Pelodiscus sinensis: one gene and its partners. The protein of the gene in region 1 purifies or fractionates together with the protein of each later gene. This does not show direct contact. Links are inferred from orthologs where the notes say so. Each region holds a gene or a part of one and is shown in the gene's direction. Other genes may lie near its edges. The genes, in order: CSNK1D, FAM110B, VPS13B and BYSL.

What was found.
Region 2: the proteins of CSNK1D (region 1) and FAM110B purify together in Homo sapiens (affinity purification with mass spectrometry; 3 studies listed by BioGRID and IntAct, counting the BioPlex papers as one, with this or other methods). This does not show direct contact. The link is inferred for Pelodiscus sinensis from reciprocal best matches to the Homo sapiens genes CSNK1D and FAM110B.
Region 3: the proteins of CSNK1D (region 1) and VPS13B purify together in Homo sapiens (affinity purification with mass spectrometry; 3 studies listed by BioGRID and IntAct, counting the BioPlex papers as one, with this or other methods). This does not show direct contact. The link is inferred for Pelodiscus sinensis from reciprocal best matches to the Homo sapiens genes CSNK1D and VPS13B.
Region 4: the proteins of CSNK1D (region 1) and BYSL purify together in Homo sapiens (affinity purification with mass spectrometry; 3 studies listed by BioGRID and IntAct, with this or other methods). This does not show direct contact. The link is inferred for Pelodiscus sinensis from reciprocal best matches to the Homo sapiens genes CSNK1D and BYSL.

Annotation. Positions count from the first base shown.
Region 1 is NC_134730.1:30,529,707-30,537,323, reverse strand, and holds the start of CSNK1D (casein kinase I), read left to right. Parts: upstream 1-4,598; 5' UTR 4,599-4,764; coding exon 4,765-4,840; intron 4,841-7,617. UniProt on the Homo sapiens protein: Essential serine/threonine-protein kinase that regulates diverse cellular growth and survival processes including Wnt signaling, DNA repair and circadian rhythms. It can phosphorylate a large number of proteins.
Region 2 is NC_134712.1:63,426,492-63,434,051, reverse strand, and holds the start of FAM110B (protein FAM110B), read left to right. Parts: upstream 1-4,544; 5' UTR 4,545-5,136; intron 5,137-5,173; exon of another isoform or gene 5,174-5,331; intron 5,332-7,560. UniProt on the Homo sapiens protein: May be involved in tumor progression.
Region 3 is NC_134712.1:37,054,403-37,061,690, reverse strand, and holds the start of VPS13B (intermembrane lipid transfer protein VPS13B), read left to right. Parts: upstream 1-4,280; 5' UTR 4,281-4,434; intron 4,435-7,288. UniProt on the Homo sapiens protein: Mediates the transfer of lipids between membranes at organelle contact sites. Binds phosphatidylinositol 3-phosphate. Functions as a tethering factor in the slow endocytic recycling pathway, to assist traffic between early and recycling endosomes.
Region 4 is NC_134737.1:9,514,450-9,521,893, reverse strand, and holds the start of BYSL (bystin), read left to right. Parts: upstream 1-4,443; 5' UTR 4,444-4,518; coding exon 4,519-4,798; intron 4,799-6,244; coding exon 6,245-6,407; intron 6,408-7,444. Other genes in the region: MED20 (mediator of RNA polymerase II transcription subunit 20), read right to left, coding at 98-252, 3,410-3,423. UniProt on the Homo sapiens protein: Required for processing of 20S pre-rRNA precursor and biogenesis of 40S ribosomal subunits. May be required for trophinin-dependent regulation of cell adhesion during implantation of human embryos.

The DNA of each region.
Region 1 (7,617 bases):
GAGGCTGTTCTCAGTGGTGACAGATGGCAGAACAAGGAGCAATGGTCTCAAGTTGTGGTGGGAGAGGTCCAGGTTGGATATTAGGAAAAACTATTTCACTAGGAGGGTGGTGAAGCACTGGAATGGGTTACCTAGGGAAGTAGTGGAGTCTCCATCCCTATAGGTGTTTAAGTCTCGGCTTGACAAAGCTCTGGCCGGGTTGATTTAGTTGGAATTGGTCCTGCCTAGAGCAGGGGGCTGGACTTGATGACCTTCTGAGGTCTCTTCCAGTTCTATGATTCTATAGTGCAATCTAGCCTCTCATCCAAGTCATAAATGAATATATTCAACAAAACTGGTCCCAGGACCAACCCCTGGGTATTCCACTTGATACTGGCTATCAACTAGATATTGAGGCATTGATCACTACCCGCCGAGCCTGACAATCTATCCTTCTTTTTATCCATCTTTTAGTCTGTTCATCCAGGCCAGACTTCTTTAAGTTGCTGGCAAGAATACTGTGGGAAATTGTATCAAAATCTTTGCTAAAGTCAAAATATATCGTATGTCCACTACTTTCCCCATATGCAGAGTCAAAAGTAAAAGTAAATCAGGTTGGTCAGGCATGGCTTACCTTTGGTGAATCCTCTTTTCCCACCTACTTGGGTTGCATCACACCCATCCCAGAGATCACTGCACATCACCCAATGTATGGAGGGTCTGCACGCAGCCGTGATCACTCTGTGCAGCACACAGTCCCTTCCCCACCTACCGGGATGGGATCACACCTTCTCCAGTCATTAGTATGTATATTTCCCAAACCCTTCTCCAAGCTAGCTAGTACAGTTCCACACCCACTCCCTTCCCCCAGTTAGCTCTACAGCTTGCACGCCCCCATATTCAGTGTGTGGCACCCTTGCTTCTCCCTTGCTAGTTGTGCAACACTGCACTCAACCCCTGCCATAAGATCTCTGTGTGTCACCCAAACTCTACTCCCAGCTAGCTGGGCCATACCCCAGCAATGCCCCCACCATAACTGTGTGTCACCCAAACTCTTCTCCTAGCGAGCTGTGCACCACCAACCCAGCCATGATCATGTGACCCCCCCCAAAGTCTTCCCCTAACTACCTGTGCATTGCCACACCCAATTCCCACAAGCACTGCATTACTCAGTCAAACCCTTCCCCCACGTAGCTGTGCAGACCCACATCCCACCCATGATTAGTGTGTGCATCTCCCACAGTGAGCTGTACCGCAACCCACCCAACCCGCCCCATTATAATGGTGTGTAACATAGGAATGTTAAAATTTGTTTTGGTACCCACTGAAATGTTCAGCAAGTACACGTTTACACACCGGGGAGAGGTGGCTCTGCTGGAGTTGGTGTGTGAGGTGAGCTGGCTTTTACAGAGGCAGCAGCCTTAAAAGCTGGCTCCCCACAACCACCAGCTTCTGCCTGCCCCTGCCTGTGCTGCTGCCTCTGATGCAGAGGTGGGGAGGGAGGAGAGGAGAGGGTGCATGGAACCATGGAGGTTAACCTAAGAGCCCAGGCTAACCATTAACCATTTACTCATTTACACTATGACATCCTTAGTGCGTCACCCAAGCCTTTTCCCTAGCTAGCATGTGTGGTGCCACACCCACCCATGATAACTCTGTGCATCACCCAAACCATTCCCCTTCCTAGCTAGTATAGCACCCCTCCGCCCATCAATGTGTGTGCCTCCTAAATCCTTCCCCCAGGTAGGTGTGTGTTGATTTACCTACCACAGTAATCACTGTGGCTATGTCTGCACTGGCAGGTTATTGCGCAAGAACAGCCGTTCTTCCACAGAATGTCCACACTGCCCACCTACTCTTGCTCAAGAAGATTTACAGTATGGCGTGGTAAGAGAGGGCTTCGTGTGCAAGAGCTACACTCTTTTCTAATAGGTGTAAGCTCTCTTGCGCAAGAGATCTTGCACAAGATGGCAGTGTGGACTCGCAGCAGGGGTTTCTTGTGCAAGAAAGCCCTATGGCTAAAATGGCCATCAGAGCTTACTTGCGCAAGAGAGCGTCCACACTGCCACGGATGCTCTTGCACAAAAGCACATCTCGCACATGGCAGTGTGGATGTGTTCCTGCTCAAGAGTTCTTGCACAAGAACCCTTGCGCAAGATGTTCTTGAGCAAGCAGCCGCCAGTGTAGACACAGCCTGTGTGTGCATCACCCAAACCCTGTCCCCAGCTGTGTGGGGCTGCATCCCACCCATTCTCATTGTCTGCCTCACACAAACCCTTCCCCTAGGTAGCTAGTGTGGTACTGCACACTCCTCCATGATCATTCTGTGCTTCTCCCAGCTAGCCCGCTACTTGTGTGGGGCTTAGGGTTGCCAGATGGTTTAATCAAAAGTACCAAACACCTCCTCCACTCCCCAAAAAAACCCACCAGGAAAAATATTCTGCTGAGGAAAAAAAAAGGAGACCAAAGTTGTTGAGAAAAGAAAAAGGACCCCGACAGCAGTTATTAAGAAAAAAAAAATCAGAAGGGCCCCTTTAAGAAGAGGCTTTTTTTTGCCAGCGGCCACCTTGTTTTTCTGCTTCAGCTATAAGACAAGCCCCTGTGGAACCAGGTAAGTGGAGGTTTGCGGGGGGGGATCCACCCAGTTTCTGAGTGTGTCATAGGGTTGCCAGGTGTTCGGTATTTTCGCCTCCTGGCAGGGGGAAAAAATCAGAAAATACAGGACATTTTAGGTATTTTCTGAATTTTTTTACTGTACAGGAGGTGAAAATACCGGACTGTCCAGATCAATACTGGACACCAGGCAACCTTAGGGGCCACACCTATCTCTGATCACCGTATGCATCACTCAATGCCTTCCCTCAGCTAGCTATGCAACACTGCACTGCTCACCAATTATCAGTATTTGCATCCCTGAAACTCTTCCACCAGCAACTGTGAAGAACCAGACCCCCTCCCCCACATCACAGTGTGCATCACCTAAACTCTTCCTTCAGCAAGCACTGCACCCAAACCAATGATAACTGTGCAGTTCCCAAACCCTTCCCCCAGCTAGTTAGTAAGGCACCACACCTGCCTGTGATCACTGTGTGGGTCAAGGAGCAGAGCTGGTGTGGGGCAGGAGGTGAAGCAGTGGTGCAGGCACCACAGGGAGCGGGAGCACACCATGGCTACAAGCTGAATAGGCATAGGGGGCTGAGTCAGGGGCAACAGAGGCCTGTTACTGTAAAACCCTCTTGATAGTGTGTCTCCTCCCTATCAGCCAGCCCAGCCTCCTTGTGTACTACATCCATGGGCCCGCAATCAGCTATTACAAGCCTTAAACATACACATTCCACAATGCCAGAGTCAGATGGGACTACCAGCTCTGGAGTGGCACAAGAGGCAGGAGATGTAAACTCCAATGTTATTCTCAGCAAATGTGTGAAGCATGATCAGTTCATCACAAATACCAGCGTAAGGCAGAGTAACAAATTTAAGATGACCTGAAACATCTTTGGTCTGAACACTGGCCCCTCTTTGACTGTGTTATAGTCAGAAGCCCAGATTATGATGATGGCAGTATGACAGGGACCATGAAAAGTCCAGATTACCATTGAACAGATCAATACCTGCATGCACCTCCAAACACATCTAGGATCAATAGGATTACTTTGTTAAAGCTTATAGTTAACTTGGGCTGTGTCTAAACTGGCCAGTTTTTCTGGGAAATCAGCCGCTTTTCCGGAAAAACTTGCCAGCTGTCTACACTGGCCGCTTGAATTTCCGCAAAAGCACTGACTTCCTACTGTAAGTAATCAGTGTTTCTTGCGAAAATACTATGCTGCTCCCGTTCAGGCAAAAGTCCTTTTGCCCAAATCTTTTGCGCAAAAGGGCCAGTGTAGACAGCTCAGATTTGTTTTCCGCAAAAAAGCCCCAATTGTGAAAATGGTGATTGGGGCTTTTTTGCAGAAAAGTGTCTGTGCCAATCTAGATGCTCTTTTCCGAAAATGCTTTTAATGGAAAACTTTTCCGTTAAAAGCATTTCCGGAAAATCATGCCAGTGTAGATGTAGCCTTGGTGTTTTCATAAGGGATTGTGCAAAGAGCAGAAGGGGACAGAGGCAACTGTGCCTCTGCCAAAACACTGATTGCTCAATGGGGTGCTCTTTTGTGTCCCCTCCTTGTTCCTCTGTGTCAGGGGAAGACAATAAAAAAACCCAGTGGCCCGCCAGAGTTAGTCCATGGTGGGCTGCTGCCACTATATTTCCCTGCGTACTGGTAATCTCCACCCTCGTTGGGCACGGCTTGCCACTCCTGGGCAATGGGAGCAGTGGGAAGTGGCACAGAGAGGCCAGGGCATCCCACAACTCCCATTGTCCGGCACCTGTGAGCCGAGCCCCAGGAGAGCTGCGATTGCCGGGCCCTGTGGAAACTCAGGGGAATAGCAATGGGAGCTTGCCAGGGATGAACCCTGTGGCCCCCCCGGCCCTGTGGGGGACGGCAGGTGCCCTGTGTGAGGGGAGGCGGGAGCCCCGCAGGTCCGGCCTGGCACAGAACCCCCCAGCCCTGAGCAGGATCTGAATCCAGGCCAAGGCCCGCCCCCTCTTCCTCCCCGGGCGCCCCGCCCCCGTTGCTAAGGAAGTGAGGTCACACAGTATGGCGGCCCGGGCACTGAGACGCTGAGGGGAGTCGGAGCTCGGGGGAATCCGCGTCCATCCGAGCCAGAGTCGCCCGTCCGCGAGGCGGCCGCGATGGTGGCCGGGGCCGCCGGGCTCTAAGCGGCAGCGGGAGGCCGGCGGCCGCCATGGAGCTGCGCGTGGGGAACCGCTACCGGCTGGGCCGGAAGATCGGCAGCGGCTCCTTCGGGGACATTTACCTCGGTGAGGCGGGGCCCGGCCGCGGGCGGGTGTCAGGTCCGGGGCCCGGGGCGGGCGTGGCCGGGCTGCCCTCGCCCTGCCCGCTCTGTAACCGCGGCGGGGGGCTGGTGACTTGGACGCGAGTCCGGCCCGTGGCTGCAGCAGCCGCGTCATCGCTCTGGAGCGGTCGGGGCTGCTGTCACTGCGGGTCCCTCCTGCCCTGCTCGGCCTCTGAGGCCCTGTGCGCCTGCCTCGTGCGTGTCGCTCACTGCGCCCGGCCTACGTGTGACCTCCTCTGGGCAGGGAGTCTCTTGCTTTGTGCTTACACCGTGTCGGTTACAGTGGGCTGAGCCTCTGCATTCTGTTCATTGAAATCATAAACAGACTTGAGAAACTGCACCCTTTTAAACACGTCTTTAATGGGTTTGGAATAACAGGTCTCTGGATTTTTGTCTTTGGAAGGCTGTTCTAGTGTTGATAAGCAGACACCCCTGCTAACATGCTACATACAGAATTTGAAAAAACCCCATAGGTAACATGTTATCATAGGTGTCTACTTTTAAAAATTGGAGTAGCCTTTGAAATATGAGCCAGAAAACATATACCATCCTGCTACAACTGCTGGGAAATCTAGAAATCTCTATATATTTTAAAAGATTTTTCTACTGGGACATAATCATGTCACTCGGTGTCCCTCCCCCCTCAGCTTCCCTGCCTCCTCCTGTCCTCCCTGCTGCTGCTAATCCAGCAAGGATCTGCAACCTATGTCTCCCAAGCAGCAGTGGCTCTAAAAGTAAGCTGCTGCTGGTGGCATGGGGGGGAAGTCAGGGAGGAAAATTACAGAGCTCTGGGGGAAGAGGGGGCCTGGAGTGGGGGACAGTCCATCCCCTGAGTTGAGCTGGGGCTAAAGATGTTAAATTTGTATCGATTATTCGATAGGGCACGTCTGCTTTGCTACATTTCAAAGGCAAAAGCACTGCAAGGAGCATGGGGCCAGCGGGGGACCAAGCAGTCTCCCACTGGCCCTGTGCTACCCCCTGCATTTCAAAGCAGCAGCGCTGCATAGAGCTGAGGGTCAGGTGGGCTGGCTCCAGGTTCCTGGTGGCACTGCCGTTTTGAAACGCTGTGGGGAGCCCAGCATCAGACTGCACATGGTGTTTCAGAGCGGCTATGCTGCGTGGAGCCTGGAGTCTTCTGGGGTTTCCCATGCTGACCCTGTGCTTTGTGCAGCGCTGCTGCTTTGAAATGCCATGGGGAGTTCAGCATCAGGCTCCATGCAGTGTTTCAAAGCGGCAGTGCTGCATGGAGCCTGGGGACAGTGGGGGAGTCCCCAGCTGATCCTGGGCTCCATCTGGCGCTGCTGCTTTGAAATGCCACGTGCAGCCTGGGGGCACCCTAGCTGGCCCAGGCTGCATGTGGTGTTTCAAAATAGCAGTGCTGCAGGAAGCCCGGCTTTGAAGCACTCCCTCCTCTCTCTCCCCCCCTGTTGCCTCTTTCTGATAGAGGCAGCAAGGGGGGGAAGCGAGCAGTCGACTATCCGATAATCATTTGCTAATCAGATAGTCGACTAGTTGTCACTTCCCGATCTGGGGCTGGCTGTACCAGAGGCACGAGGGGCGGGAGGGCAGGGAGAACACATGGCTTGGTGCAGCAAGGGCTGGAGCAGCGTGGAGGGGATGTGGGAGAGATGGAGCCAGAGGGAAAATTGGGCCCAGCCCCTCCTGGTGAATGAGGGGGAGGAAGCCCACCCCCCACAGCACACATGGGAGATGCCTGCTGGAAGGCAGGCAGGGTCTCCCCAGGGCTTGGCCCTCCCTAGGGGCAGGGGGAAGAGCCAAGGTGGCCGTGGACCCTCCACAGTGCTGGGGGAAGGGGAAGAACTGCTGGGATTTGTGCCAGGCCTGACAGGATACTCAGCCAATCATGGGGGTTACGGTTAGACTGTGGGGGAGAGAGAAAGGGCCCTGGTTAACGGGCACGGAGGGAAGGAGAAGGGGCCTGGGCTGGCAAGGCTGCTGCCTGCCCTCCCTGGTGGCCAAGGGGAGAACTGGGGCTGCCCCCCCCAGAGGGGGGTTGGCAAGTGCAGGAAGCAGGGGGCACCATTCCCTAGTACACTTAGATTAAAAAGAATATCACCAATTTGTGTATGTTATTGCAATAATATCATCTGTATGCAAATTAATTTACTTTCTACAGTACAGTATTTCTTATTCCAATGGACCGCTGTTCCTCAAATTCTAAATTAAAATAGTTTGTTCACAGGCACTGAATAGTGATTATCTTGGAAGAGAACATATGTATAATGAGGTCTGAATGTTTCTAGCTGATGGTCTGCAGTGTATATAGAGACAGCTCAGGATTCTTGGGCTCTGTTAATGCCTTCATTTAGAAGACTGTGTGAGGAAGGTGGTATATGTTGTTATGCACGTATAATACCTGTGCTCCAGATTCTGTCCTGGCTACCTGTAGGTTTCTTGAAGGAGTTTAAGATGTTGATTTTGAGTTAGGTGGTTTAGGGGCTGCCTGTGTTAAGAGGCTGTGCCATGCAGTGCTGCCATAACTAAGATCAGCAGAGGCATTTGAGTTGGCATTTCCTTAGTACAGTGTTTCCCAATTTTATTTGGCCATGGAACCTTTTTAAACTCGAAAGAATTTCGTGGAACCCCTAAGAACAAACAGTTTCATGTATGGAGCAGGGTGTCAGACCAAGCTGGGAATGTGGAGTCTTGGCGAGGGAAAGGGAGTGAGTGCAGGGGATTTGGGTGTAGGGTCTGGGAACAAGGGGGAAATGCATACTTGGC
Region 2 (7,560 bases), on another chromosome or scaffold:
CCAGGTGCTTATTAGAAACTTTTGCCAACATAGCAATATTGGTGGCAGTCTGATTATTTATTTAAGTACTCTGGCAAAAGCCCTAGCTACAGTTATACTGACACAAAAGTACTTTTGCCAGGTATAGCTTATTTTGCTTGCCAAACCAGGATAAACAGTTTTTTTTACCAGTATTAGCTTTTTCTATACTAGAAAGGTTTGCCAGGATAGTTATAGCAGCAAACTTTTTCTATAGCCTTGTAGACTTGACCTAAAGTTAAGCATATGCCTGTTTACAGGATTGAGGGTCTTCTGTTACATAATGTGTTTTCAAATAGACTTATTTATAAATCAGTAATTATAAATCAATAAATAATATGTCAAGGTTAAATATAAATTGCTAGAGTTTTGTTTTGGGGATTTTTTACAAGTACTTATACAATAATTTGCTCTCAGACTGAAGCCCTGCATGCCAGGTTTCAGCTCTGAGGTAAATTTCATGGCCTAAACAAAACTCCCTGAATATAAGGTACTTAAATTTGAAAGGAAATAAATGAGACTCTAAAGCTATTGAATCAAAAGTGGCTACACTAAAATGACTAAGGTGAGATATTAAATGTACTATTCCACTCTTCCTAGAAGAACAAAGTGGCAGTTTAATGAAGCTATCCGTCATGTGAAGTTTAGGAGTAAATTTGTCAGTGAATAGTATAAGAAACAATTTGATGGACAGCTCTGTTTCATTATCAAGGACAGGACAGAAAACATACAGTATATATATAACAACATTTAGAAAGTTTTTGGCATATTTGTGTAGCATTGAAGAGCTCTGTAGGCCTCTTCATAGAGGCTTTGTGCAGGGTTTTTGCGCAAGAAGCTTTTTGCGGAAGAGATCCTCTGCAAAAACTTCTTGTGCAAAAGCATGTCCACATCTCAAAAGTGCATCGCAAAAGGAGTTATTCCTCGCAGAAAGAGGTATACCTATACCACAATGACGTTCTACTGTAAATTTTCTTGTGCAAAAACGCGCTTGAGTTGTGGACGCTTCTTGGGTTTTTGCGCAAAAACGGCCATTTTTGTGCAAAAACTTTGTAGTCTAGACATAGCCAGAGTGTTTGGAAATGCTTACTTTCAAGGTCAGATTAAGGAGATTCAGAGCTCTTGGCATGCCATGAGATGGGCTCCCTTGTGTCTTCTCCCCTACAGCTGTGCTCCCTGAGCCTTGGCCCTGTCTCCAACAGAAGGGGGAAGGCAGAGGAACCCCCCAATCTTTTCCAGAAAGGTAGTGGCAGCAACACTTCTTTCCCTCAGAAGCAACATCACAGCGTTCCTCCCAAAGTCTGGACAGGCAGAAATTCATCAGTCAGTGTACATCTGATTGGGTGGATGAGCGAGGTACACCATATTTCCCCTTCCCCCGTATGCCCTCTGCCTGCCACAAAGTTCTCTATAAGGATGTTGTTGACAGGGATCCCCTGAGCAGTAGGTCTTGGAGTTACTATCCTACCAAGGTATAAATAAGATGCAGTTTTCTTATTGTTTCAGGCTCTCTGCTGAGTCAGCCAAACTTCTTGCATTTATTACACTAGTTTCACATTTTTATGCTTTTATTCCCAATGATGAGGACTAGAAACCTTCTTTTTTAATTGAACGTTTAAGTTCTGGTGTAATCAAATGGCTGCAGGATCTGGGTCTCTGGCCATGATTGTATAGCTCCTATGTCTTAATTCAGGGGGTGGGCACTAATTTTTGCAGGGGGCCACTTAATTAATTTTGCTACATGGTCATGGGCCAGCTCCACCCCCACCACCCTCAGATGGGGTGGGACTTGGGGCAGAAGGGGCAGGGCTGGGGACTAACCTCCTTCCACCGCTATCTGGTATTGGAGAATTTAAACAAAGAAAAGGGACTGCAGCTCCTGGCCTCGGAGCTCCCATCCCTGTAGCTACCATGTTGCCTGGCAGCTGCCTAGAGTTGCTGCAGATGTTTAAAGGGCTCGTGGCTCTGGCCCCTGTCAGGGTAGCACCACAACTAGAAGCTGGGAGCCATTTAAATAGGATCCTGCTGCCTGAGACACCAGCCTGGAAATTCGGTGGCATGGACAGCAGGATATAAATAGAAAGCAGACAGATGTAGTCTGCGGGCAAGATCAAAGTGCTTGGCGGACCAGATCTGGCCCCTGGGCCGCATCTTGCCCGGTGCTGTCTTAATTTGACCCTGCTTACTTTTCAGTATGACAATATTCATTTCTTAACACATAAACCCTAAGTAATAGGGAGTTTTGCTGCTCGGTAATGGAATATATACAAATAACCTGTGAACAGGTTGTTGATATGCAGTGCAAGAACTCCTCCTAAATGTTAAGAGCTAGGATCAACACATTTGGTATGCAGCTTTCTCTTATAACTTAAAGCAAGGGAAGGGTTTAGTTGTCCCAGGACAAAGGGATGTGTCTGGAATATGACTGTTTCTCATAAAATGGAAAGGGAGGTTATACTGTAGAATGACCACAGGCGATCAAGTGCACTGGTAAGAGAGTGCATGGCTAAGGGCAGGGTTGTGGATACTGCCAGGCACTATACTCAGGTAGGGTTCCTGTGCTGGTGAGTTGATAGCCGGGCAGCGTGGCCTCCCGCTGCCCTGGGATCCACTAGCCAGGCACCACACCCCCTTGCTCTAGCCAGCCAAAGGAAGCCTTCACTTAGCCAGTACAGCCCTGGCCAGCCCTGAGGAGTTGCTGGCCAGGCAGTGCATTCCCCACCATCCTAGTCCTGCCCTGAGCCCCCCACCCACCCAATGTCCTGCCCTCCACATTTTTACTCAAAGCCTTCTCACTCCCTCCTGATTACTACACCTCTGCCTCCTGCCCCGAGGCCCCCCACACCTCCCAACCCCCTGCCCTGACTCCTTCAACTCCCCCTTCTTTGAGCCCCTCCACCTCCTGCTCTGAGCACCTCCTCAACCCCTAACCTTGACTCCTGCACCCCCACACTCTCAGCCCTGAGCCCCTCCTTAAGGACCTGAGCAACACTAGGTTAATGTGCTAATAATCAAATATATTAGCTGTAATAGTAGCTGCTACTCCTACACTGGTTTTTGGGGGGTCACTGAATCTGCATTTAGGGCTGCTGTTTACACTCTCTCAGCCCTCTTCCATTGTGTCATTGTGTTCAGGGCTGCCTCCTCCCCTATGTAATGTAGGAGGGTGCAGAGACCACTGTACACAGCCATTCTGGTTGTGCTCTTCTCATGCAGATGTCTGTAGGAGAAGGCCTACGCAATATATACCTAATTAAACTTCACTTCTAATGAATGGGATCTATTGTGATTGCAAAAGGAGTGAGAACCTGCATCAAGGGACAGTAAGTCAAACTCAGCCAGAGAACTGGGTGAAGGGCTCAGATTAGAAATGTAGAAAAATAGGAGTATGCATAGGGGAAGAATGATTAAGTATTGTGAAAAGGAGAAAAGGTGTGTAAGAACAATCATATGGACACCTGGATGTGTAAATGAACAGGAAATGAGGGTAAATGAGTTAGTAAATATGTGACTAGTAAAGGTATCAGTACATGTGTGTGGCACAGACCAGAAAAACAAGTCTAAACAAGCTTCAAAGTTTATGTGTAAGAATTGCATTTGCTATAGCATCTGACGAAGTGGGTCTTTGCCCACGAAAGCTTATGCTCCAACACTTCAGTTAGTCTATAAGGTGCCACAGGACTCCTCTCCGCTTTTGCAGATTCAGACTAACACGGCTACTTCTCTGATGCTATAGCTTTTGTACATTCCAAAGATGATTGCTGTGAGTGCAAAATAAATATTCATTACCATCTGCGCTACTAAGATTGACAATTATGTAACAAACAGCTTAGTGTAAATTAGGAGTTACTACTGGTCAGTTCCTCAGAGGACATAAATAGGCATTGAAGTCAATGTGGTTGATTTACAGCAGCGGAGGTTGTAGCCCATTGTGTCATATGCATCTCTCAATACTCAACATAACCAGTTGACTCCATTCCAATGAAGCTCCTTTAGATTTTTCACTGGTGCAGTCTGACTAAAACATACCCCATAGCCCAATCAACAATGATCAAAATTAACTGCTTTGGTACATGAATTTCTCATTTCTTGTACCAAGGGAAAGTGAGCGTTGCTTTTACCGCCACACATGTTTTCAAAATTCCCCCTATGCTGCCTGAAACATCCCATCTTGGCTCAGTGGTATTTCACTAAAACCCATCTATTTCATAGTGAAGTAACTTCTGGGGCCCACTTTCCAGGATCTGTTGGATGAAATTCTGGCTCCTTCTCCCCTTCCCCCTTTGAAGGATTTTCTGGATAAAACGCTGCCCCATTGACGCCAATAACAAAACTCTTTTACAATGGGGCAAGATTATTACCCATTATTTTTTATCACCATTACTCCTTTAGAGACCGCGCTATTAAAATGTGGGCAGCAGGGGTCACGTCATCGTGGGCTAGCACTGGCATGGGGCTGCTAATCAGCTGCCACTCTAGTTTCACAAGAGCGTGTGCGGGCGCGCACAGAGACAGTGTGTGCCGGTGGAAAAGCCCGGCGCCAGCCCTGAACCCTGGCCCCGACCTCGGCTGCCCGCCGCGGAGCTAAGACCCCTTGCCCGCCGCGTCTGTGCTGCAGAGCCCGGCTTGGTTGCGCTTGGCTCGACTGAGGCTCCCCCCCCAGCTGCTGCAGCCCAGAGCCTGGCTAGCTCAGCCCATTGTGTGTGTAGCAGCCCTCCCGCCCCCGTCCCTCCCCATTTCAGCGTGGACGAAACCATTGCAGCCCGGGCCGCGCCGCCAGACCTGCGGGGCCGTCTCCCGAGCGGCCGCTTCCTCTCGGCAAAGCAAAAGCAAGGCCAGGAGGCGGGCGCAGCCGCGTGGGAGCAGGGGGCGCGGGGCGCTGCAGGGCCCGTAGCTCCCCTCCGCGCGTGGGGGCGGTGGGAAGAGCCCGGCTGCCCTGCCTCCCCTCGCCGCCAGCAGCGCCCGGGAGAGTTTCATTCAGCGCCGGGAGGAAGCGCTGCCTGCCCGCCGCGCGGCTCGCTGCTCCCCTCCGCCTCCTCCCCTCGGCGGCGGCAGCTTACCGCGGGAGGCCGGGAGCGGCAGCTACAGGCAAAGCCGCGGCGGTGCCCTGCAGGGAAGGTAAGGGCGCCGCGCGGGGAGGCTGGGCTGCGGGCGGGCTAGTCGGGAGCCGGGGGAGGCAGCGCTCGGCGCCGCTCCGCTGCACGCGCTCATTGTTGTGCAAAGTAGCTGCAGCTCCCGCTGCCTTCTCCCCGGGCAAGAGCTCTGCGCGGAGGCTGAGCTGTCGGCACATAGCCCCGGAGCTAGTTTCTGGAGGTATCGTCCATTTCACACCCCCCTCACCCACCCCCAGCATAATTCTGCAAGAACATCTGTGCGCCTCTGGATGGTTCTCCCCCCCCCCCAGTCCCCCCCCCCCCCCTTCTCCCAGTCTCCAGCTTTTCCTCTTGCGAGGTAAGATCTGGTTCGGGTCTGGGGTTCTGACAGCAGGAGGTGGAAGTTTCCCCAGCAACTCGGGAAGCGGAAAGCTGTTTTTTTAAAGGGGGGGGGGGGGAGGATTGGGTGGTTTTGTGCGTGTGCAGAGGAAGTTTACAGCCCTTGTAGAAAAGTTATGATGGAGAGATTGGGCAGAAGGTTTTGGGATGGATTTTCCTTGCAGGGTTAGATGTGTGCTGCTGGAGGGACTTGATCACTGATACTAAACTTAACGGGCGCAAATACACTCAGCAGGAACCTGGTGCGTAGCTGGGAGGCTGTCGCTGGACGTGTCTCTCTGAAAGTTTCCATTCATCTGATTAATGCCACTTTGGGCCCTTTTAGGAATGTTTCAATATACTCACGTTCCTCGGTGTTTGTAAGCAGCAGTGGTGGCTTCGGAGTAGGGGAGGGAGAAAAACAACCTTTCCACTCGTCTATCTCAGTAGTGCATAGTTTTCAGGATAAGATGCAGCAATGTGGTGGGAAACCCCTGCTGTGTTTGTAAGCCCAACTGCCTCTGCATATTGACAAATTATGGTGCAATGTTTTATTCTTCTTAACTTAAAACCAGGTGGTTGTAGCTCCAGTATCAGGTCAAGCCTCACAACTTTTTTGAAAAACACCCCCCCCCCCAACAACCTTGTTTTTTCACCATAACACTGCTCAGAAATAAAATGGTTCAGTTATTCCTAAATTCTTCATTAATATCAAGGGAAAACACATGGCCTAGGAGACAGAAATTCAGAGAGTAGCTGTTTAACTCTTCAGATGTTTTTTTCTGACTCAGAAAGAAGTGCATACTTCCTCCTCCAATTCCCTTTCTCTCTGATGCAGGGCAAAGCACAAGGCTTCTTCCTCTAGGTCAAGCTTATGCCCTGTTCAGAATCTGGTACACATCTGTCACAACATTACATGAAATTAGGTCTGGCTTTTTAAGGACTACTGACTAGTTTTTGTTTCAAGGGAGGAAGCTTAAGGTGAGGGAAGAGAGAAGACTTACCAAAAATAAATGTACTGGGATATTTTTCTATATTCCCTTTCCTGCTATTATTGTGATATAGATAGAGACTCTTAGAAAATACTTGCTCAGAGCAATTGCTCAGAGTTCAGTGAAGTCTGTTTTTTTTTTACATTACTGATGGAAAGGTAGTGATTTGGCATATGACCTAATAATGTGTGATCACTAGCAGGGAGGAGATATTTCATTCCTTCACAGACTATTTAAAAAACCTAGTCTAAGAAAATAGAATGTTCAATAATAAAATGTTACAGAATCTGAAAAAAGTATGTGCATTTAAACTTGTAACTTAATGTGAAAATTCATTTAATTTGCATGTTGATCCCTATTATATCAGTGTTTAAGATAACCTAAGTGTGATCAATTTTTTATCTCAGACACACTGACACTGATTGGCTTCATTATATGTAATTATCCCTTGTATTTAAAATGACAACATTAGTTTTCTTGCCTAAAAGGCTTAACATGATATCTGGAAATATAGGTTTTTCTATAATGTAGCTATTGATTTTAAAAATTGGTGTTGCATTCCTAACTCTTCCATAAATTTCTTGGGTGACCTTGGGAAAGTAATTAAACCTTTAAGCCTCAAATCTCCACTTCTGTAAAATGTTTGTGTCTTTACCTTTTCTAATATATTGATGCTTAATGAACATTTGTAGACTATGGTTCATAGGGATGTTGATATAAAAGTGTAAATTTTAATTTGTTACAGCAATGTTACATCACTTTTTATCCTACACACAAAATCTGTTGCATGTAGTTAATAGAAGATGTTGCACTTACACAGCTTAGTGTGTGTGGGTAGACTTAGAGTAAGTGCCTCACTTTTAAATGTTCTGAAAAGATCAATTTAATCCATTCCTACAGGCTTGCATTACATTGAAATGAGGAAGGCAATTCCTGTAAGAATGAATTGCTCTAAATTAGGCCTGTCAAACAATTAAAAAAATGAACTGTGATTAACCAGAGTTAAAAAATGAGATTAATTGCAGTATTAACCAATAATAGGATACAAATTAAAATGTATTGTACATATTTTTTATTTT
Region 3 (7,288 bases), on another chromosome or scaffold:
TTTCCTCTAATGACACCTGAATCTGGGACAGTTCCTCAGATTTGTCAACTAAAAAGAATGGCTCAGATTTGAGCATTTCCCTCACATCCTCAGCCTTGAAGATTGATTCAAAGAATTCATAGTATCAGAGGGGTAGCCGTGTTAGTCTGAATCTGCAAAAGCGACGAGGAGTCCTGTGGCACCTTATAGACTAACTGAAGTGTAGGAGCATAAGCTTTCGTGGGCAAAGACCCACTCATGCATCTGACGAAGTGGGTCTTTGCCCACGAAAGCTTATGCTCCTACACTTCAGTTAGTCTATAAGGTGCCCCAGGACTCCTCGTCGCTTTTAAAGAATTCATAGTTTCTCCACAATGATTTTATCATCCTTGCTTGCTCTTTTAGCATCTCAATTGTCCAGTGGCCCCACTGGTTGTTAAGCATGCTTCCTGCTTCTGATGTAAAAATAAATATAGAAATATGAAGCATATATCTCTTTACTGAACTAGATCTGCTCAGTGTCATTAGTGGTGCTTATGGAACTTAATAGCCCAGTATTTGAACCAATGAGCTGTGAATAGTCTTGCTTGTCCTGTGAGCCTGGACTATGGTTGGACCTACAAAGACATGTAACCAGGCTGGAAACCATTTTGGACACTGTACTTTTACACTCAAGGTGAAAAAGTCTGAACTGAACACAAAATATTCCTGCCTTGGGCAGCATATATATATAAAAGCATGGAACTAAACAACAGGGACAGGTGCTAGATGCGAGGAGACTCCTGGTTACCACTAAGATGACTGCTAGGAACATCCGGGGTTGCCAAGTTAGTCTGTTATAGAAAAAAACCAACAAATGGTCTGGTAGCACTTAATAGACTAACAAAACATGTAGATAGTGACATCATCTACATGTTTTCCTAGTCTATAAAGTGCTACTAGACCAGTTGTTGGGTTTTTTTTTTTTTTTTTTTTGCTAGAAACTAGTAAGACTGCACATGGGGAAAGATCTGTAATGTGGGAGGCTGCCTAGCTTGTGAGAAGAGGTCATTAGAACTACTGTTAGGTTAAGAAATTGCATAACAAGTTTAAGAGTATTAAGCTTAGGTGCCATGTTTTATTTTGTGTATAAGTTGCTTTGATCCGTCTGTTATTACTTACAACCACCTAAATTCTACCTGTTATACTTAATAACATCACTGTTACTATTAAACCCTGTGTAGATGTAAGGAGGGTGGGAGAGCAGTTGTGCATATCTCTTTCACTGATAAAGGGGGTTCACTCTGTTATACAAACACTATGCACAGTGAGATGGATTTTCTGGGGTTTTGGTCCCATAAGGGCTATGCACCTGAGTGTTGTATTGAGCTCCTTTGACTTGAGTCTTCCCCAAGATGAGTGAATATCAGTGTCTGTGTGCTCTGCTGTGGACTGTGAGCCCAACTTTTGACTTCACCAAGGGAAACCAGAGGCTCTGGCTCACTTGGACAGGCAAGCTCAGTTGTAGGAACAGCACATCAGGTGACAGTCTCAGGAGGATACTGTGGCCAAACCCATTATAGAGTGTATTACACATCATACTTAAAACTGAGCATGGTTATTTCAGTTATCTGTATTTTATAAAGTTACTGTATTTTAAACAAATTACACAGTGGGTGGGGAAAAAAGAGACACCCACCCACCCTGCCCAGTCCTCCTCCCTCATTGTGAAGGTTAATAGAGAGCAACTCAATAAGGGAAAGCGACGAGGAGTCCTGTGGCACCTTATAGACTAACTGAAGTGTAGGAGCATAAGCTTTCGTGGGCAAAGACCCACTTCGTCAGATGCATGTAGTGGAAATTTCCAGAGGCAGGAATAAATATGCAGGCCAGGATCAGGCTGGAGATGACCAGGTGGATCCAATCAAGGAGGATGAGGCCCACTTCTAGCAGCTGATCTGGAGGTGTGAATTCCAAGAGAATAGAAGCTGCTTTTGTAGTTAGCGAGCCATTCATAGTCTTTGTTTAATCCAGAGTTGATTGTGTCAAACTTAAAGATGAACTGTAGCTCAGCAGTTTCTCTTTGAAGTCTGGTCCTGAAGTTTTTTTGCTGCAGGATGGCTACTTTTAGATCTGCAATTGTGTGTCCAGGAAGATTGAAGTGTTCCCCTACAGGTTTTTGTATGTTGCCATTCCTAATATCAGATTTGTGTCCATTGATTCTTTTACGTAGGGACTGTCCTGTTTGGCCGATGTATATAGCAGTGGGGCATTGTTGGCACATGATGGCATATATTACGTTGGTGGATGTGCAGGAGAATGTACCAGTGACAGTATGGCTGATCTGGTTAGGTCCTGTGATGGTGTTGCTGGTGTATATATGTGGGCAGAGTTGGCACCGAGGTTTGTTGCAAGGATTGGTTCCTGAGTTCGAGTTATTATGGTGCGGTGTGTAGTTGCTGGTGAGAATATGCTTCAGGTTGGCGGGTTGTCTGTGGGCAAGGACCGGCCTACCTCCCAAGGCCTGTGAGAGCGAGGGATCATTGTCCAGGATGGGCTGAAGATCACTAATGATGCGTTGGAGAGGTTTTAGCTGGGGACTATAGGTGATGGCCAGTGGTGTTCTGTTGGTTTCTTTCTTGGGCTTGTCCCGTAGCAGGAGGCTTCTGGGTACACGTCTGGCTCTGTCAATCTGTCTCCTCACTTCCTCGTGTGGGTATCGCAGTTTACAGAATGCTTGTTGAAGGTCTTGTAGGTGTAGGTCTCTGTCTGAGGGGTTGGAGCATATGCGGTTGTACCTCAGTGCTTGGCTGTAAACAATGGATCGTGTTTACAGCCAAGCACTGAGGTACAACCGCATATGCTCCAACCCCTCAGACAGAGACCTACACCTACAAGACCTTCAACAAGCATTCTGTAAACTGCGATACCCACACGAGGAAGTGAGGAGACAGATTGACAGAGCCAGACGTGTACCCAGAAGCCTCCTGCTACGGGACAAGCCCAAGAAAGAAACCAACAGAACACCACTGGCCATCACCTATAGTCCCCAGCTAAAACCTCTCCAACGCATCATTAGTGATCTTCAGCCCATCCTGGACAATGATCCCTCGCTCTCACAGGCCTTGGGAGGTAGGCCGGTCCTTGCCCACAGACAACCCGCCAACCTGAAGCATATTCTCACCAGCAACTACACACCGCACCATAATAACTCGAACTCAGGAACCAATCCTTGCAACAAACCTCGGTGCCAACTCTGCCCACATATATACACCAGCAACACCATCACAGGACCTAACCAGATCAGCCATACTGTCACTGGTACATTCTCCTGCACATCCACCAACGTAATATATGCCATCATGTGCCAACAATGCCCCACTGCTATATACATCGGCCAAACAGGACAGTCCCTACGTAAAAGAATCAATGGACACAAATCTGATATTAGGAATGGCAACATACAAAAACCTGTAGGGGAACACTTCAATCTTCCTGGACACACAATTGCAGATCTAAAAGTAGCCATCCTGCAGCAAAAAAACTTCAGGACCAGACTTCAAAGAGAAACTGCTGAGCTACAGTTCATCTTTAAGTTTGACACAATCAACTCTGGATTAAACAAAGACTATGAATGGCTCGCTAACTACAAAAGCAGCTTCTATTCTCTTGGAATTCACACCTCCAGATCAGCTGCTAGAAGTGGGCCTCATCCTCCTTGATTGGATCCACCTGGTCATCTCCAGCCTGATCCTGGCCTGCATATTTATTCCTGCCTCTGGAAATTTCCACTACATGCATCTGACGAAGTGGGTCTTTGCCCACGAAAGCTTATGCTCCTACACTTCAGTTAGTCTATAAGGTGCCACAGGACTCCTCGTCGCTTTTGCAGATTCAGACTAACACGGCTACCCCTCTGATACTTGACTCAATAAGGGAAGCTTTTCTGTTGGGTTAGAGAGAAACGTCGTCTCATACACCACACATGGGGAGACTGAGCAGTTCCAAACGCTGTCCTCTCACAGCACACCCACCCTCTCAGCTGCTGCTCAGGCGTTTCTAGCGCTCTCCTGTCCCGTTACAGGCAAAGCTCCTAAACATGAACAAGCGCTGCCCAAAACAGGGTTAAACGAGTCCCATCCCAGGCCATATTACTACCTTCTCTACGGGGGGAGGGGGTTTATCCTGGTACCAGTTACCCTCTCCCATCGCCACCCGACGCGGCTTTAATCCCGGCACCAGTTCCACCCTGCCCCAGCGATCCGATCCCCAGCCACGCAGCTACCGCATGGAAGCCAACCGAGCCCGCCTCCCGGTGTCACCGCCCGACCCTTCCGGCCGGGCAGCACAACCGCGCCTGCGCCTCCAACGCGCCGGAGCCGCGGGGAGCACGTGAGGGAGGACACCAACCGGAACTGCCCGGCCAAACGGTAACTGCCGCGGCTACTAGCCCGCACAGGGGGACGTTGTGCGCAGGTGAGTCCGGGGCTGGGCTCGGCGGGGAGAGGGCCCTGGGGGTCGTGCTGGGAAGGGGGGACCGTGCTGACGGGCGGTAGTAGTGAGAAGGGCTTGCTTGCTTGGTAGATAGGTAGCGGCGAGTGTGGGGCTGGGGCGTGGGGCGGGGGTAGCGTGTGACGGCTGGGGGTTTTACCCAGCACTATTTACCGTTACTCACGGGGGAGGGGGAGGTTGGGTCAGTCAGCTCTGGGGGGCGGACGGGATGAGGGGCAGATGCTGGGGCAGGGGATGGCGAGGGGCAAGTAGGAGTGTTGCGGGAGGCAGGACACAGTGGGGGGATGAAAGCGGGTGGGGTGGAGGGCGGGAGTGTGTATTTAGGAGTGGGGCTGGTGGGAGCTTTGGAGGCAGGTGGGGTGTGTGTGAGTGCTGTTAATTTACAGATAAGCATGGAACAATTAGGTTTTCATTGGCAAATGTTAACATCACAGTAGAAAAACCTACAAAAATTCTCTTCCAGAATAATAGAAATGTACAGATAAGCAAAGTAAGAAAAATGCTGCTCAGAACTTACTACAGTTTGATTTCAGGATGTTTACTTTGAATCTTTGACAAGAGCAGTTGACAGTTTGTGATTTAATTTTTATAAGCTTTAACTTTTTGAATCTGAATATCTACTTTCATTAAATGATTCTAAACCACTCTTGTGATTTTCTACAACTGAAAATTTAATTAGATAACAATTTCGAAAAATGTTTAAAAATAAACATCAGTATTATCCATCAGGATTATAAGAGAAATAAAAATCAAATTCTGCTATGTGTGTTTATAGGTTTGTGTAGTACCAAATGAGCGGATGTAATATTGTGTTATATGCTGGACAGTCATAAAAGTAAGATTGCATGTCTAACTATTTCAGAAGTTATGCTATGCCAAATGCAAATTATATGTAACTGGATTTGTTAAAAAAAACTACTTTGGTATGCCAGAAGTGGCAGGAAATTGAACTTGACTGTTGATAATAGGGTGGATTGATTTAAATCATGATTTAAATCAAGTATCCCACTGATACTACTTCACATTTCTTCAAACTGTCGTGCAAATCTGGTAACTAAGACATGTACAGCTCAGTACAGTATTTTAAAATATCTAAGAGGGCACACTTTGTATAATTTTTTTACATAACTTGATTTTTATTAATAGGAAATAGTACATAATACTCATTACTTGTGCCAACTTGCAGAAGTAGCAGCAGTACATTAGGAATGGTAAGAAGTAAATCATACACACAAACACAATAACACTTAAATTTTATTAAACTAAAACTTACATTTGAAATTGCAGCTGTCTCCTGAGTTGCTGACTGAGGTCTGTTTTTAAACTATTGTACAGGTTGGACCTTCCTGGTTTTGCACCTTTGGGACCTGACTGGTCCCGAATGAGGGAATTTGCTGAACAGTGGGAAATCCCCTGACATCAGCCTTTCAGCCTGCTGCCCTTCCCCACTGCTGGATCCTTTGGCCTGGCCAGCCCTAGCTCTGCTGCCTGCAAGGTGGCATAGGGTCTGGTTGTGCTGCTTCTGTTGGGCTGCCACGGCCTGGCTTTCCCTACTGGGCTGAGGTGGTGTGACGTAGTGGGGGTACTTGCTGGGCTGTGGTGACCTCCTCTGTCTGGAGCAAGACCCAGCAGGGAAAACCTTATTATGCAAAGGTGACTCCATACCGGTTGAACCAACCCCCCATGGGGAGAAACAAAGGGAGGTGGAATGCTGCTCTGGCTGGGGGCAGGGCTTGGAGTGGTGGAGTGAGTTCCTGGCTGGAAAGCAGGAGAGAAGGAACTGGGGAGGGGGCTGGATTCCCCTATCTCAAGGGGGGCACTGAGGCCTCTTAGCCCCCAGTTCCTGTAACCAGATTACATCTGTGCTATGTTGTATCCTGGAGGAGCAATAAACCACCCTCAATTCCACTGGCTGGTGGAGTCTGTTTGTGCCATCTCGGGATGCAGGAGACGGGGGACCCCCAACGCGCCGTCACAGGTGGCTGCAGCCCCGGCTCCTCTGCTGCGTGGCAGATAGCCCCAATCATGCTGCCACGGCCACCTGGGCAGCTGCGAGCCCGCTGCCACTGCCCAGTATAGTATGGCCCTGCTGCCATCTGGGCTCATGCAGCCCCAGACAGGCTTCCCCTCCTGGGCAGCCATGGTCCTGGCCTTGCTGCTGGGTGGCAGGCAGCCCGGATAGTGCTCCACCACCACCCGGGCTGCCCTGGCACTGCTGCTGCAGCTTCTCCTCTACCAGACCCACTGGCCTCCCAGCTGCTGGTCCTTTCACTCCAGGGTTCTCTCACGAAGAGAGTCCTGGTTAAGGGAGGTGCAATTTGTATATGTTACTACTTAGTCTGCTGAGAAACAAAAATTGAAAGCCCAGAACTTTCAAGGAGCAAGAGCTGATTGTTAGGCTGGACAGACTGAAGCATTAATTCATTTTTATGAGACTAAGTGTTTGTGATAAGATTTAATTGTAATTGTTGTTTTTAAATGAGAAATTTAGTGGTTTTTTAATTAAAAATCCAATTTTAAGTTTTTTTTAAAATTATTGATTTTTATCCACCCTGGTAGATAGCACCAGGGTGGATAAATTTTTGAACAATTTTTGGTTTTTTCAGTCTAAGCAAATATTCTAATCAGTCTGTGGTCATAAGCAAAAGGTGAGTTTATAAATTGGTGGGATTTATTTAGATCCAGACATTACTATTTTCCTGTAAAGTGTTATGTAAGGATATGGCCCCCCATTCTGTCATGCAGCTTTGTTTTTTACATATTGTACAAGCTTATTATTGGTTCTAATGCAAATAGGTTGGGACTTCATGAACACAAA
Region 4 (7,444 bases), on another chromosome or scaffold:
CCAGTTGACTTCTACCAACCCCGATGATCAGTTCTAGCAAACTCCACAGGGTCGAATGCCTCTGTGATTGCACCATGAAATACAATGCAATGCAGACCTTGGTTGCCAATGGTGGAGGCAGCGGTGTGGTAGGTCTCACAGTCCACACAAAATGTTCCTTGTTTCTCCGCTCCCAGTAGCTCCAATTTCCTTGTTAGGATTTCAACTGTCTGCTGGACGCTCTTTCCCTCCGTCACGGGCATCTGAGACACACTATCATAGAAGAGAAGGAAGCAACAGAAAAGATTCCGTATTCACATATGGAGAATAGGGATGGAACAGTTTAACTAGTTAAATGTTTACCTGATACATGTGAGTTTAATGGCTGCACTGCGAGCTCCTGGCCCCACTTCCAAGGAGCCGGCTGCTGCCCTGCATAGCAGCCTCTGACACAGATACAGCAACACAGGGTGGCAACCAGCTCCCTGAAGCAGGGTGGTAGGTGGGAGCAGGTATGGGCTGGAAGCCAGCTGCACTGCAGTCTCTGCAGCAAGGGGGGCCAACCCGCGGCTTGCGAGCCACATGCGACTCTTCAAAGGAAAAATTGCAGCTCTCGCACCCGCGGCTGTTCTGCATTCCCGTGCTCTGACCTTTTTCCTTGTCTGGTCAGGGTGCCGCTTGGGACAGCGAGAGCTGACGCTGCGGCCAACAGAAGCCTGTCTGGGCCACGTGCAGCTCTTAAAGGGGCAGCGTTGGGGTTTTTTGGGGGGGTTTTGGTTCAACAACTTTCCGGCCGACGGCTGTTAAAGGGGCAGCGGTTCCCCCCCCCCCCAACAACTTCTTTCCCTTGGCTCTTTGCACTGTATCCACCACTATTTTGGTTCTTTGTCTGTAACGGGTTGACCACCCCTGCTCTGCAGTATAAACTTAGTACTGCAGAGCCCACAGTGTGTAACGGGTAAAAAATGTTAACGGCTACACAGTTACCTAGTTAACTACCTTTTAATATCCCTAATAGAAAGACATGGTAACCAAGTCAGAATCCAATTCAGCAGTCAATGTACTTATAAAGTCTATAATAGAGATCAGAAGCCAACATATGAGTTGCTGGATCTGTAGGGTACTTGCATACTTGACTCATGCACTTCAAGGCCAAGAGAGACCATTGTGATAGTCCAGTCTGACCTCCTACCTAACATAGCACAGAGTATGATAGAGTAATTCTTCCATCAAACCCATATACTTCTATTTGAGCTATAGCATTGCTTTTAGAAAGACTGCTGATCATTAAAGAGACCGTTCAGAAGCAGGATTTGAACCCATGCCTGCAAAGGAAGCTAGAACACCCAGAAAAGGATAAAACAGCTTTGCATATGGCTTCTAGGCCGCTCAAACATCCCATGGTTAACAGACATTTAAGAGACCCCCTAAGGCAGACACAGCAAGTATTGGCACCACACACAGTACCACAGCAAAGGGTGCCAAATACCAGGACAGACGGGACACTGTAAAGGTAAATTTTCCTTGTCACCCTATAAACGTATAAACTGAGCATCACACAAAAGAATCTGTTTTACACAAGATTTTTGCCGTTACAGTGATAGACCCAGATAACCAAGAGCACATTTGATCCCATATTATCCATGGAGCAATTCTGTTTCCCGCTTAAGTAGTATAAATCCTTGGTCTCCTGTTTTTAAATACATACCCTCCGTGCCCCTGATACCGACTGCAATACCAGTTATCCCTTTAGTTTATTTTACGAGCTGCAGTATTGACATAGCGTGTCGGTAACATGCCCTAGCTAGATCCCTGTCAGAACATAACCCACCTCCCTCTTTGCATTCCCTGAGCAGCGGTGTCTCTCTTCAGACAACACCCAGTCAACCTGTGGAACTCCCTGCCAGAGGATGTTGTCAAGGGGAAGTCTATAACATGTTCTAAAGAACTAGCTAAGTTCATAGAGGATAAGTCCATCAATAGCTATTAGTGAGGACGGACAGGGATGCAAAATCATGCTCCATTTGTCAGAAGCTGGGAACGGGCAACAGGGGAGGGATTATCTGATGATTCCCTGTTCTGCCTATTCCCTCTGGGCACCTGGCATTGGCCACTGTTGGAAGACAGGACACTGGGCTTGATGGATCACTGTTCTGATCTTCCTCACACGCCTGAGCAAGAACCCGGCCTCAGCCACGTTCTTCTCTGCTGGGTGCCTTCTCCCATTATTTCCACCTGGCCACATGTGACGATGAGGGATGTCAATGCGTAGTCAACTACACGATTAACCAATAAGCCTGGACTTATGGGTTAATCTTGTTGACTACATGCAGCGCAGAGGATGAGGGGGGTAGGTTGGAGTCCATACGCACAGGGAGCAGGCTTTCAAGCAGCTTCCCCATGAGTGCTGGCTCTGGGGACCTACCTGACCCCCTTTGCTGCCTCCTACAGAGGCAGAGAGGAGGGGCCAGCCAGAAGCAGGTTCCCCCCAACATCAGCTCTGTGGAGCTGCCTCCCCCTGGCGCTGCTGCCTCTATCAGCGGCAGTAATGCGGGGGTGGGAGAGGCAGGGGAGGTTGCTGTGAAGTTGGCTCCGTCCATGGCACCCTGGGCTTGCCGTGGACAGAGGCTGGTCTGCATCAGCAGCTCCTGTCCTTTTTTGGGGGGGAGGGTCCAAGCTCCCCGTGGACAGGGCCTGCTGTCGCAGACCAGACTCTGTCTGCAGGGAACTCAGACCTCCCCCCCCACCCTACACGGACAGGGGCTACTGCCATCCCACGCTGCTACCTACGTCTTAGAGGCAGCAGCATGGGGCTGCAGCTAGCCGGTCTGCGCAGGGAGCTGTTTTTTAACTGGCTTCCCTTGTGAACTTGTTCCCGCCTGCCATCCCCTGGTGCTGCCTCTGATACAGAGGCAGCAGCCTGAGGTAGTAGGGGGTTCCCCAGGTGTGGGGCTGGGAGAGCACTGGCTGCCGCTGCCACCCCCGCCCCCAGGGGCGATCGAATAATCGTGTAACTTCTAAGATTTCATGTGCTTACACAACTATTGAATTACACAATATTTAGCATCCCTAGTGAGGCAGGATAGTGGTGCTGGCTCCAACAGTAAGACAAGCCCCAGCCACTGCAACACAGGCTCGAGAAGCCGCAAGAATCAATGCAGCCTGAAAACGCATCTGTCAGCTCCTCCTGCCACAGAGCAGCTCCTAAGGACTTAACCTCTTAGGGCTCAGCGCAATGAGCTCACCCTGCTGCAAATCCTCAGCCCTCCCTCTCCCGCAATTCGGTGCAATGCTAGATCAAAGCTGCCGAAGCAGAGCTGCTCCTTGCAGACCCCCCCGTCTGCAAACCCCACGCCGTGGCATTAATGGCAAGCCAATCAGGACCCAACCACATGTATCCTTTTTAACCACGCGACATAGAACGTCTCACCAGGTAACTCCCATGCTTCTTGAAATCTTCACGTCGGGCTGGACCGGTCCCTATGCAAGACGGCGAGGGCGAGCTGATACTATCTCGGTTTAAAAATATACTTGCAGCAGTGACTTGGCTAGGGGTGTATCTCTCCGTGGAGGAAGCACACTCGCTAGCTCCAACCCCTCTGCGGTGTCAAGCACCCAGCAGGAAATGATATCAGCAAGAGGGGAGGATTCCAGTCTCTGGCCAGTCCCCCTGCCTCTCGGTAGGTGGGAATTACAAAGCTAGTTCCTCCTAGAGGCAGATTAGTCCCCAAGGACTGCGAGCAGCAGATGGCACTAAATATAAACGGGGGGAGGAAGGGGCTGGAGTAAAATCAGGTTTTAGGAGCCCAGGGGCATGTTAACCACTGATGCAAAAGATTTTAACGAGCCCCAATGGAACTCTGGTGTGGGCTGATCCTATTCTAGGACCCTAAGAATTATGTAGCCAAGTAACCAATATCCCCTGCCCCGCCACCAAGTTGTTCCAGGCTAATGTATCTCAGTGGAGTTAATAGCATCCTAGACACTAAAACTAGAAGGGACCCTGAGAAGTCATCCAGTCCAGTCCCCTGCCCTCATGGCAAGCCCAAGCACTATCCATAACAGATGTTTCTGCAATCTGCTCTTAAAAATCTCCAGTGATGGAGATTCTACAACCCCCCTAGAGAATTTATTCCAGTGTTTCACCATCCTGACAGTTAGGAAGCTTTTCCTAATGTCCAACCTAAACCTCCCTTGCTGCAATTTATGCCCATTAATAGGTGGCTCCAGTCCGTGTGTCAATAAATCCCCCTTCTCTCTGCTGCTTCTGAAAATGGAACTCGCTGTCGCACGAAGGACTCCCTCGAATTGAAAGCTCTGCCTTGGGAGAGGTTCCTAGAAGGCGCCCTAAAATAGCACGCCTGCGCCTTTAAGAGCCGAGACTGGAGACAAGCGTTCATTACGCTGTTGCCAATTTTGGAACGGAAGGACTCCCAACGTTCCAAGAGCGCATGCGCCCTCCCTCTTCCGAAGACGCGCACTGTCGGGCCGCACACGTGCACTTCCCGCAGGTTGCGGGGAGAGCGCTGGGGGATCACTATGCCTAAGGTCAAGCGGCGGAGGGGCGCAGGGGAGGCGGCCAGGAACCTGCCCCTGGCCGAGCAGATTATACAAGGGGACTCGGTGAGGCCCACCACGCGGGTGAAGAGGCGAGGCAGGGGCGGGCAGCATGGCGGTGGGGAGCAGGAGGAGCAGTACGTGGATGAGAAGCTGTCCCGGAGGATCCTGGAGCAGGCTCGGATCCAGCAGGAGGAGCTGGAGGCGGAGCACTGTCCAGGCAAGGGAACCGAAGCGAAGAAGGAGAAGACCACGGTGCTGGGTGAGTGGGGGAGCCGCGCTGATTCTCTTACCGTTGTTTGTGGCGGAGAATTGAAGCGCAGGGCGATCTCTAAGAACAGCGGATTAAAACAAAAGTCCCGGTGTCGTGGGAGGAGGCATTGTGCTGCCCTGGCGGCTGCCTTTGGGATGAGACAGCAAAAGGGACAGGTGTGCTAACCTTGTAGCTTGGTCTGAGTTTTTTCATGGGAAGGCATCCTGCCTCCGTAAATCCCCCCCTTGTATCCATTGTATGTATCCTTAAACTGCCCCCATCACTACAGTATCTGACATCTCTATCATGAAGGGATCTTATCCTTACAGTGATAACCCACACACCGATTGGGCGTGTCTCACTGTCCCATGGAGTGGCACTGAGCCCCTTATGGAGAAGAAGAGTACGTTTCCTCTACAGCCTCAGCTGAGAGCCAGCTGGTTTATAACTGAAGCTGTAGAGGCTCACACACTAAATTCCAAAGGTTCCAGGTTTGGTTCTGTTACACCAGCACCTCGGAGATACTAGAGACAAATAGAGTCTACAGTTGCACAGAGAGATCTAGGGACTTACCCAAAGTCACACAAGAAATCTGACTTAGGAACTGAACCCAGGTTTTTTGAGTTTTAGTGCCATAGTCTATTCAGTGAACCATCCTTTCACCTGGATAATACGTTCTTCATTTCCTGTCCCAAATAATATTTTTATTGTACATATGACAGTACATTGCATTAGTCAGTTTATTTGTCACTTAGGACCAGCTTTTTAATGGTATTGGAGTTGGTCACCGAAATACGTTTTACAGCATGGCCCCTAGTCTGTGATCTTGCAAAACTGAGCAGTTGTATTAAAGCTGATGAGTCTGTGTCTGAGTATAAAGTTCAGTGTGTATAACACACACATCATAATCATTATACCCTCTAATCTTTTCCATCCATGTGCAAAATACATTTTTATGGGCATCGAGGTATATGTGAATGTGCACCACACAACCTAGCTGTGGATGCTCTGCTAATCAGCTGAGTGGCATTTGAATCCCACCTGAGCAGCTGCAAAAGCGCACAGGCTACAGGGAATGCTGGTTATAATCCCCTAAAAAACAGGCGGCGGGGCGGGGATGCACGTATATAGGACCTGAAACCGTTTTTAATTCTTTAATTAATAAAGCTTGAAATATGCACCGTAATATTTAATTGCACATCTGTGCTCCAACATTATTGGCTGGCCACAGCAGTTGTTTAAGCAATTGGCAGAGGAGAAGCACGTTTTGGGCCTGGATGGAAATTCTGATTGCCCCTTCAGATGGACTGCCCCTGGGTATCCCTGGTCTGCCTTCCTATAGTGGGTGGTTGTCTACATTAGAAAGGAGCTGCTGTAAATTCATCTCACTGGCCACCCAGCTACTGGCTCTGCACCCTTATTTGTCCAACCTTAACAGGATGTGGTTTATTTCAGGGTCCGGATTGCGCGATGGGGATTCTGACGCAGAGGATGATGAGTGGCCCGCGCTGGAGAAGGCTGCATCCATGGGAAAGGGAGAGTACTGTGAGGAGGTGACGGTGGACCCTGAGGATGAGAGAGCTATTGAGATGTTCATGAACAGGAATCCTCCGCTAAGGTAGGAAGCAACCCCGATCGCGAGAAATTAAAAGGCTGCCCCCCTGATTAGCAGAGGGCCTATAGCCAGCCTGCGTTTTCTATTGGTGGTGCACATCCGCACATGGCACGGTGCACGCAATAAAACTTATTCTGCACATAGATGGAAACAATTGGAACATTGCCCCTGAGCCAAGGGATGTAAGTGTTTCTGTACTGGGCCCAACTGCGCTGCACTCGGATAGCATTGAAGTTTAAAACAGCGCTTTGAAGAGGTTACGTGAATTCTAGAGGGTGGGTTTGGTTGAAGGTCCATCACTCTTCCACAGCTGGGGAAACTGAGGCATAGGGGAGGATTGTTTTTTGCCCAACCTCTTAAGGCAAGTCAGAGGCGGAATTAGGAATAAAACTCAGGATTCCTGACTCTCCTGTGCCCAAACGGTAGATAATGCTGCATGTCCTCTCCATGGCATATGCATGGGGCCAACCATAGTAACTCCAATTGCTGGAGAGCAGCAGTGGGCAGCCTATGACCCATGAAATATTTTGTTACCATTGCCCATACGCGGGGTTGCCAGATCCCACTAGTTTCTGTTGGCGTCAGGTTTTTTTCCCCTGCCGGTATTGCAAACGTGACACACTCATAAAACAAGAGCACGTGAGGCGAGGTGTGTGCTGGTTGCACACAGCATTGGCTGCGAGAGCTGTGTGCTCGCTCTGCAACCAATCAAAACCCTGCTACAGTTCATTCGGCATGCCCTGCGAATTCCAGGTACACAAGCGCAGTGAGCAAAATGACCCTATCCCGGGAGGCTATATTGGTTACGACACTCTTGCGGCCCACTGAGATGGAGGGCCACTCCTGCGGCCTGCTCAGTAGCTTAGGTTGCCTGTTGCTGCTGCAGTGCCTAGAGGCCCTGCTGAGATCAGGTGCTTGGTGCTGTACCTGTATTCCAAAGACAGACATACCCGTCATAGACAAGACAGATAAAGGATGGGAGTGGAAATAGAGGCACCAAAGGGGGAGAGATTTTCCCAAGGTCACCCGGCAGGGCAGTA